3 linked regions of the Saccharomyces cerevisiae S288C genome follow. Changing the gene in region 2 together with the main gene of any one other region gives a genetic interaction. Each region holds a gene or a part of one and is shown on either strand. Other genes may lie near its edges.

The links.
Region 1: mutations in ASF1 (region 2) and TSA1 together harm fitness more than expected from each alone (negative genetic interaction), as found in Saccharomyces cerevisiae (5 studies listed by BioGRID, with this or other methods).
Region 3: mutations in ASF1 (region 2) and GET2 together harm fitness more than expected from each alone (negative genetic interaction), as found in Saccharomyces cerevisiae (5 studies listed by BioGRID, with this or other methods).

Annotation. Positions count from the first base shown.
Region 1 is NC_001145.3:218,487-221,389, forward strand, and holds TSA1 (thioredoxin peroxidase TSA1), read left to right. Parts: upstream 1-1,651; coding exon 1,652-2,242; downstream 2,243-2,903. Other genes in the region: USA1 (Usa1p), read left to right, coding at 1-1,392. UniProt on the Saccharomyces cerevisiae protein: Thiol-specific peroxidase that catalyzes the reduction of hydrogen peroxide and organic hydroperoxides to water and alcohols, respectively.
Region 2 is NC_001142.9:194,134-197,634, reverse strand, and holds ASF1 (nucleosome assembly factor ASF1), read right to left. Parts: upstream 1,349-3,501; coding exon 509-1,348; downstream 1-508. Other genes in the region: SUN family protein NCA3, read left to right, coding at 2,762-3,501. UniProt on the Saccharomyces cerevisiae protein: Histone chaperone that facilitates histone deposition and histone exchange and removal during nucleosome assembly and disassembly. Facilitates histone deposition through both replication-dependent and replication-independent chromatin assembly pathways.
Region 3 is NC_001137.3:325,620-329,138, forward strand, and holds GET2 (GET complex subunit GET2), read right to left. Parts: upstream 1,413-3,519; coding exon 555-1,412; downstream 1-554. Other genes in the region: UTP7 (Utp7p), read right to left, coding at 1-317; YER084W (uncharacterized protein), read left to right, coding at 1,446-1,832; YER085C (uncharacterized protein), read right to left, coding at 2,000-2,521; threonine ammonia-lyase ILV1, read left to right, coding at 2,858-3,519. UniProt on the Saccharomyces cerevisiae protein: Required for the post-translational delivery of tail-anchored (TA) proteins to the endoplasmic reticulum.

The sequences.
Region 1 (2,903 bases), on a different chromosome or scaffold from region 2:
TCACCTGTTAGTTTCGCTCCGACGCAAGGACGATCTCCTGCTGCAATACGTGGCGAAGAACGGGGTATACCATACGTAACCGAATCTGGAAATGACATCGTGCCCACAGATGAGCTTTATAGGAAATGCATTATCAACGGGGATGAAGTAGTATTCATTCCTGTTAGCGAACTAAATCCACAATCGAGCTATTTGTCCGTGATCAAAGGCGATTACGGTGAAATTAAAATCCCCATATCTAGTAATGACTACAGAATTAATGGCGATAATATTTTGCTATCACCATCTGCGATAGAGCAGTTAGAATCTGCTTTGAACTTCAAAATCGAGAGACCACGGGATTCGACACTCTTGCATCCGTCTGGTGAGCATGTTCGAGCTGCAGATAATACCTCTTCGGCAAATGATAATAATACAGTTGAGAATGACGAGTCAGCGTGGAATAGAAGGGTAGTGCGTCCCTTGAGAAACAGCTTCCCGCTGCTATTGGTATTGATAAGAACATTTTACTTAATTGGCTATAATTCATTGGTTCCCTTTTTTATTATTTTGGAGTTTGGAAGCTTCCTTCCCTGGAAATATATCATTTTACTAAGCTTGCTTTTCATTTTTAGGACTGTTTGGAATACCCAAGAGGTGTGGAATTTATGGCGAGACTATCTCCACTTGAATGAAATTGACGAAGTCAAGTTTAGCCAGATCAAGGAGTTCATCAATTCCAATTCATTGACCTTAAATTTCTACAAGAAATGTAAGGACACTCAATCCGCTATTGATTTACTGATGATACCTAATCTACATGAGCAAAGGCTATCGGTCTATTCTAAGTATGATATTGAGTACGACACCAACACCCCTGACGTTGGACAATTGAATTTGCTATTTATCAAGGTGCTATCGGGTGAGATTCCTAAGGACGCGCTAGATGAGTTGTTCAAAGAGTTTTTCGAATTGTATGAAACGACAAGAAACATGAACACACTATATCCTCAAGACTCTTTGAACGAATTGCTGCTGATGATTTGGAAGGAGTCCCAAAAGAAAGACATCAATACGCTACCCAAGTACAGAAGATGGTTCCAAACCTTGTGCTCGCAAATAGCGGAGCATAACGTCCTTGATGTCGTACTCAGATACATAATTCCAGACCCGGTAAACGATAGGGTGATAACCGCTGTGATAAAGAACTTCGTGCTCTTTTGGGTTACACTACTCCCCTATGTGAAGGAGAAGCTGGATGATATTGTTGCACAGAGAGCAAGGGACCGTGAGCAACCGGCTCCATCTGCCCAACAGCAGGAAAACGAAGATGAGGCCCTCATAATCCCTGACGAGGAAGAACCCACCGCCACAGGTGCGCAACCTCATCTCTACATTCCTGATGAAGACTAATTGCAATGCGATGTGGCCACGTTATATAATGCGTTTAAGGTGTACGAAAACCCATGCTGTTCTGGCCCGTCGGGTTTTCTGACAAATTGTCCTTTAGGGATTTTTCGGTTTGGCTCGGGTTGGCAAAGTCGGCTGGCAACAAACCAGGACATATATAAAGGGAGGTAATTCGTCAGATCAATGCCGAACCGTTCTCAACGGGCCTTCCCCTCGTTCAATTGCTCACAACCAACCACAACTACATACACATACATACACAATGGTCGCTCAAGTTCAAAAGCAAGCTCCAACTTTTAAGAAAACTGCCGTCGTCGACGGTGTCTTTGACGAAGTCTCCTTGGACAAATACAAGGGTAAGTACGTTGTCCTAGCCTTTATTCCATTGGCCTTCACTTTCGTCTGTCCAACCGAAATCATTGCTTTCTCAGAAGCTGCTAAGAAATTCGAAGAACAAGGCGCTCAAGTTCTTTTCGCCTCCACTGACTCCGAATACTCCCTTTTGGCATGGACCAATATCCCAAGAAAGGAAGGTGGTTTGGGCCCAATCAACATTCCATTGTTGGCTGACACCAACCACTCTTTGTCCAGAGACTATGGTGTCTTGATCGAAGAAGAAGGTGTCGCCTTGAGAGGTTTGTTCATCATCGACCCAAAGGGTGTCATTAGACACATCACCATTAACGATTTGCCAGTCGGTAGAAACGTTGACGAAGCCTTGAGATTGGTTGAAGCCTTCCAATGGACCGACAAGAACGGTACTGTCTTGCCATGTAACTGGACTCCAGGTGCTGCTACCATCAAGCCAACCGTTGAAGACTCCAAGGAATACTTCGAAGCTGCCAACAAATAAGACGCTTGCAGAGTTGTCTAAATGACTACTTATTTAAAATTCACTCTTTACGTTTATACCTATCTATCTATATATAAAACCCATAAACTTAATGCTATTCACTGACAAAACGATACACTACCGTCTAAGAAGCTATTCACACTAGCTCAGTTCTAATAACAATCATCGTCTGGCTCTAAAACGCGTAAACCATTCACTGCCACACTCACTTTAGCTCTGTTGCTGCCCTTCATACGCTGAGACGCGACGCTTCTTTTCTTTCATATGATTTCCCTTCTAGGCGACACGCCATGCCCCAAACGGGGAACACCGCGAATTCCTTCTGGTGCCCGGTTTCCTCTTTGGGAAGGGCGTCAAAATGGTACAGCTCGCTATAGTCGCCAATTACTGCAGATGCTTAAAGGCTTCTGCAACTGTATGTCCAACCTAGTACGTGGAAACTTCAAACGCGAACAATCTGTATGCTGTTTCGGGCTACTTATTGCTCTATACGGTTTTTAGTGGACACGAACTCTTGTAATTATTATATATATATATGCCTTGGCATTTTAACAAGACTCTATGTTGTGATTTCAGTATGATTTGGGTGAAAACACAGTGGTGACCACAGAACAACGAGGTAACAGTTCCAGACCACTACCTTTCCCCTTCAATCTTTGTG
Region 2 (3,501 bases):
ACGTATACGAGTTGTACATTAATATACGATGTAAGCATTAGATTGTTACCATAGCAACTCATGTCACTATTAATTACTCTCGTTCCAACATGATAATATAACTATTAGTTGATAGACGATAGTGGATTTTTATTCCAACATGTTCGTTCTGTTATGAAGTTGTTTCATATGTGTTTTATGAACTTTTAGGATGACGTATTGTCATACTGACGTATCTCACTTTGATAAACAACAATATCAATAATATTAGGGCGTGTGGCGTAGTCGGTAGCGCGCTCCCTTAGCATGGGAGAGGTCTCCGGTTCGATTCCGGACTCGTCCAATTTCTTTTTGTTCTCAACGACAATAATAAGAAAATCAACTTAAATGGAAAATATTACTGCCTTTTATTTTTTACGTAGCTGTTGCCCTAACCCGACTTTATCTTATGTCTGTTATTTTTTTATTTATACATTTTATAAAGTGTACCTCTCTTGCAGGTACCATTAATCTTATAACCCATAAATTCTTAATTCGTTGAACGTGCCGCATCCTTTGGAGTGGATTCAATATCCGTGGACCCCCCTTCTATTTTCCTCCTCTTCTTATCATTACCATCTTCATTCTTGTCTACAGACCCCACCTCTTCTTCTCCTTCTTCCTCATCGCCGTCACTATTTTCTATGTCTTCCTCCTCTTCTTCAAGATTCGTTTCGTTGTCTTCAGTCTTCTCTTCCTCCTCTTCTTCCTCCTCTGCCGCTTCTTCCGCCTCTCCCTCTCCATCTTCTTGATCGTCATCTTCGTCGTCTTCATCATCTTCATCGTCATCTTCTTCTTCATCGTCCTCCTCCTCTTCATCATCTACGCCGGGCTGTTCAGGTGGGTATAAATCCCCTTCATTTTCATTATCCCAAACAATGTTAAACCTTGTTACCCTTGGCTTTTCAGCCAGTATATTTCTTACAATATGATCTACTTGTACCTTTGCTGGCGGATTTTCTCTTAACTCTTCTTCATCGTACTCATTATTCACGTAGTAACCGACCCTAACAAACTCTCTCCCGTCATAAGAACAACTTAATAGAATAACAGTCACACTAACCAATTCACTCGCAGGAATCAGCTCGGCGGAGGGAGGGTCAGCAGAAAACACAAATTTATTAACACCTACGGGAACGGGGCCTACCAGAATGGAATCCAATTCCTGGTCATGGTCTAGAGAACGAGAGGACCCAACATAGGTTAGTTTCCACTCTAAGTCATGTTTTAAAGATTCTAAGCATTCAAAAGTGATTTCAAACTCATATGGATCAGTGAACTTTGCCGGGTTGTTTAAGACTTTGATGCCTAACAGTGAAACAATTGACATCTTTTCTATATCTTATGTTTCAATTGGATGGTAGGGAGAGTACGCTGTTACACTTTCGAGATTCTGTGAGCCTCTTACCTGTTTGGAGTTATTCCAAGTGTTAGTATTAAAATTGCAAGATTCATTTTTCCATCGTCGGTTGTACGCCCATTACATGAAAAAGGGAACAGATTTACGCGTTTAGGATGAGAAAAAAAAAAAAAGGAAAAAACGCGTAAATGAAAAGTTCTTTGTAGAACAGCTCTCTCTTAAACACATAGTAACAGCAAAAGACGCCACCAAGACAATATCCTGAAAATCGAAATTCTCGCCAAGGCATTACCATCCCATGTAAGAACGGAATAAAACAGCATTCGAAGGTTAGGTGTGGCACAAAGCCGATAAGAAAAAGAAAAGTAGTGAGGACAGGCTTAATTGAGCTAATTAAGGCGAAAAAAGGAAAAGAACTCGATAGAAAAACTTATTCATGAAGGAGACGTAAAGTCAGGCAAGGCTGCGGCATCATGTCTACTTGTCATAACTCAATTTGCCTATTTCTTACGGCTTCTCATAAAACGTCCCACACTATTCAGGGGAAGGCTACACGGAAACCCCAATAAAGGAAACGAAGAAGTGACCTTAGCCTTCGTCATCCGCGCCCACTACTCTCTTCCTAGTCGCCCGGTTGTTGAAAGTTTAATTGTGGGTTTTCTTTCACGACACACCTCACTGAAAAAAGAAACGAGCGGAGGAATAGTATGATAAATCTTCAGCATAGATGGGTAACGGGATCCCTCTGTGAGGGCCGATTATGCAGGCCTAGACCCGCACGTGACCACTTCGAGAGCAAGTTGCCTGCGAGTTTCTCTGCCCGAGGAAAAAGAAATGGAGGCAATTTACTTAATATGGTATGAGAGGATCTTTTGACGGCAAATAGATGCGCCATCTCCGAGAAAAAATCTAGACAATAACAGCGACAATTAACCTAAAGAGGATAGAAGATCGAGCAAAAAAATTTTTTTAATATGGGGTCAGTGGCGATATTATACTATAGGAGTTAAAGAGTAAGTTGAGTGTAAGGTGGTAGAATTATGATTGAACTCCGAAACTAAGCGCCGATTATGGGTGGCAAAGCGGACAGCTTTTGATATATAATCGATCGCTCTCGTAGTTGATATCCTCTCTCTTGCTTATCTTTTCCTGTATATAGTATATGTGTACATACAGATACGAATATACCTCAGTTAGTTTGTTTTAACATTAAATATTCAACAGTTGCCAGTAGCAAAAAGAATATATCCATTCATTTCGAGCTTTTTCGTCTCATTACTGATATCCAACTAACAGTCTCCTCATAGACGGTACCTTACTTTCCTTTAATATTATAATACTAGTATAGTCGCACATACTTAACTCGTCTCTCTCTAACACATAATGAAAATTTCCGCAGCTTTAATATTGTCTTCCCTTTCTTCTGTCGCATTTTCTGCCCCTGCACCTGCTCCAGCGGACAGTCACCATGAAGATCATCACAAAGATGAAAAACCAGCGGTTGTCACTGTCACTCAATACATAGATTCCAATGCCGCTACTAGTACTGTAGAATCTGCTGCTACTACCACTACATTGTCCTCATCTGAGAAGGATACCTCTGAACAGAAGCGTGATGGCGGATTCCAAGATGGTACTGTCAAATGTTCGGACTTCCCTTCTGTAAACGGTATAGTTTCCTTGGACTGGCTAGGATTTGGTGGATGGGCCTCTGTCATGGACATGGATGCCAACACTTCGTCCGAATGTAAGGATGGCTACTACTGTTCTTATGCATGTGAACCTGGAATGTCAAAGACTCAATGGCCTTCTGACCAACCAAGCGATGGTAAATCTGTTGGTGGTCTTTACTGTAAAAATGGTTACTTGTACCGTACCAACACTGATACCAGCGATTTATGTTCTACGGATGAAACATCTGCTAAGGCCATTAACAAAAAGTCTGACTCCATTGCTCTATGTAGGACGGATTACCCAGGATCAGAAAACATGGTGATTCCCACAGTGGTTGATGGTGGAGATTCACAACCAATTTCAGTCGTTGATGAAGACACTTATTATCAATGGCAGGGTAAAAAGACTTCTGCTCAGTACTATATTAACAACGCCGGTGTATCTGCAGA
Region 3 (3,519 bases), on a different chromosome or scaffold from region 2:
AAATCCAAAGCTTTGTTTGCAGTACTGACATCCACACTCGATTTGATTTCCGATTGTTGCACTTTGAAAGTCTTTTCTAGCTCATTCTCAGGTTCCAAATAACCATTGGACTCGGGTAAAAGGTAATCTGTTGCCGCAGCAGAAGATACCGCCTTTTTATATTGCTCGTCTATTTTTTTCAAGCCTGCTCTTAGTTTTTTATCCTTTGTTTGAGTATGATTATTTTTAGCATTATTAGTATATGTGGAACGTTCAAATTTATTCTGGTTTTCTCTTTCTTTTATCTGGCGTCTGTGACCGTTCTTCTTGTGACCCATTGTGTCGTTGGAATCTGGTTCAGTTTCTTAAAGCTAGGATACTGAGTTTTTAATGCTATATATGGATTTTTTTTTACTATTGAACTCCAATTCAGTTCTATACATCGATTTTTCACGAACTCATCGCTTAGAAAATTTTCTTACCGTTTTTCTTTTTTTTTCAATTACCTGAAAAGAAAGCCGGGAATAATGTCGGGTTATGAGAACAATGTATTATATTACTGAACTATCTAGAATTTATAAGTACGTCAATAAGCCTAAGACAATTAGCACAAACGAAATGTCAGTGATTAGCATGGACAATAGATCCCAGTATTGCAAAAGGGTAATTAGCTTCCCCTTCAGGTTGGCGACGGGAATTACTCCCTCGGGCACCAGTGAAACTAACTTGACAAGTTTATTGGTATCTTGTAAATTTTTAATCTTGCTCTTGTGTTCCACATTCTTCAATAGCTGGTAGTAGATGGATATGGAAAGGAACTCAAACGTGGCAAAAATTCTAGTGAAATTCGATGGGTTCCGCAAAGGTGCAAACCAAGCTGATTGAGTAAATGCATAGGCCGGCCACACAGAGGAATTTGGTCTTGTGATTAGGTATAGATAGGGTAGTAGGAAAAAGACCCACTTCACAAGAATGGTCCAGGCTTTCAGTCTGTTCAGCAAGTAATCATGGTAGTCCAAAGCAGCTTGATTGATCGGGGCTGCAGGAGCCGCTTGACCAAACGATGGTGTACCCTCTGCACTGGGCATGCCAGTGTTCATAGAACTTAGTAGTGAGAGTAGATCGGGCGTAGAGGAGTCCTGAGGGGTACTTTTACCCGTACCTTGGCCTTGCATGGCAGCGAGCTGTTTCAATAGGTCCAATTGGGGCGCTACGTTGCTATCTTCTTTGATATCTGGAGTAGCCGAATGCACACTCGCAGGTGGTGTGGTCTTTGCAGCGCTAGGAGCGTCTAAAGGTGATTCTGCGTTCAAATGACTGCTTGCCTGCCCGGTGATTTTATTAAGCCTGGAGCTGGCACCTCCATTGCTAAACTTCTTCTGTCTCCTTTCCCTTAGTAACCTGCGCTTTTCCGCCTCTGTTAATTCAGACATATTTCCTAGAGCTACGTTGCTGATGCTACAAACATGGAAGAGCTCATTTGTACATATCCATATCATTCAAATCTTTTCATGTTCCTATTCTTGTTCTTTTGTCCCAGCAAACGCGCACGGCGGGGTCACCCCAAATTTTTATTTACCTTATGTTATAAGAGCAACCATCTCATCCCCAAACTTCTCCCTCCCTCCCTTTTCACAAAGAGAGTAATGCTCAACCCAAGTAGCCATCCGCCTTCCCCGGATTTTCCCACAGGATCTTCTGCAAGTCCTAGGGTCAAACTGAGACCATCCACGTTGTGGGCACCACCACTCACAGTATCCTCTGACTTTGCGGCTTCCAGTAGTTCTACTGCCCCTGTCACCGTCACAGATAAACCTGTCACACCCGCTGTATCAAAGCGGTATCAACCTTAACTCAGATTTTCAAGAAACAGAATAGCACATTCTCTAACATCAAGTTATCATACCAATATATAACACAAATTATGCATAAATAGATAAGTAATATGTCCCTCTGCCCCTGCCTTTCCCTTTCCAGATGCTGGCATCGAAAGTAAGGCATGTATTTGTATGTAAGTTTTTTAATTAATAGTCTTCTTCTTTCTTATCAGTCGTGCTCTTCTTTCCAAATTAATAGGTTTGAATCTTATCGGAATCACCTGGAATTCGTTCTCATTACATGGCCGCCCACCATGCACCTTTACATTTCGTATTTCTTTCCTCTCTGCGCTATATCTTTGGGAAAGATTTGCAATCAAGGCAAACACCCGCTTGTCCCCTTTCAATTCTTGTGTTATTTCAAAAACCATCCTTTCATAATATATTTGTATTTCTTTCGCCCTGGACTCTACCAGTTCATATTTAGAACCTTCCACATATCGTCCAATTCTGCAGCCCACATCTTTTTCCACCACGATACGGGAAACAGAATGGGTCCTTGGATTCTCGCTAAACAGTCTCTCTATTCCCCTGTTCAAAACCCTCAAGATATTTGTTTCCCGCAACAGCTGCAATTGCAATTGATCAATCCTATGCGAAAATGCCGAGTTTATGTTATTCAAGACGCATTTTAAAAAATTCACTAGCGGCTCCTTGAAATTCATTATGTCTGATGAATATGAAAACCTTTTCCTGACTACCAAGACTCTTTAACTCTTCTCTCTTTATTGCATATTATCTCTGCTATTTTGTGACGTTCAATTTTAATTGACGCGAAAAAGAAAAAATAAGAAGGGCAAAAAGAAAAAGCGCAGCGGGTAGCAAATTTGGAATCGCATAAAAAGAAAAAAAAAATATCAAAGAAAAAGAGTCATCTCAAACATATGTCTGCAGATACTTCATTATCAGCTTTGAAAACTTTTGTTGTTGCTGCTTTGAGTTCTTTCTTGTGTGAGTGCTACAAGCCACATTTAAACTAAGTCAATTACACAAAGTTAGTGATGTCAGCTACTCTACTAAAGCAACCATTATGTACGGTTGTTCGGCAAGGTAAACAGTCCAAAGTGTCTGGATTGAACCTTTTGAGACTAAAGGCTCATTTGCACAGACAACACCTGTCACCTTCCTTGATAAAACTACACTCTGAATTGAAATTGGATGAGCTGCAAACTGATAACACCCCTGATTACGTCCGTTTAGTTTTAAGGTCCTCTGTATACGATGTTATTAATGAATCTCCAATCTCTCAAGGTGTAGGTTTGTCTTCCCGTCTAAACACGAATGTCATCTTGAAAAGAGAAGATCTATTGCCTGTTTTCTCTTTCAAGCTTCGTGGTGCCTATAACATGATTGCCAAGTTGGACGATTCTCAAAGAAACCAGGGTGTTATTGCCTGTTCAGCTGGGAATCATGCCCAAGGTGTGGCCTTTGCTGCTAAACACTTGAAAATACCTGCTACTATCGTTATGCCTGTTTGTACACCATCTATTAAGTATCAAAATGTCTCGAGATTAGGGTCTCAAGTCGTCCTATATGGTAACGATTTTGACGAGGCTAAGGCTGAATGTGCCAAATTGGCTGAAGAGCGTGGCTTGACGAACATTCCTCCTTTCGATCATCCTTATGTCATTGCCGGTCAAGGTACTGTAGCTATGGAAATCCT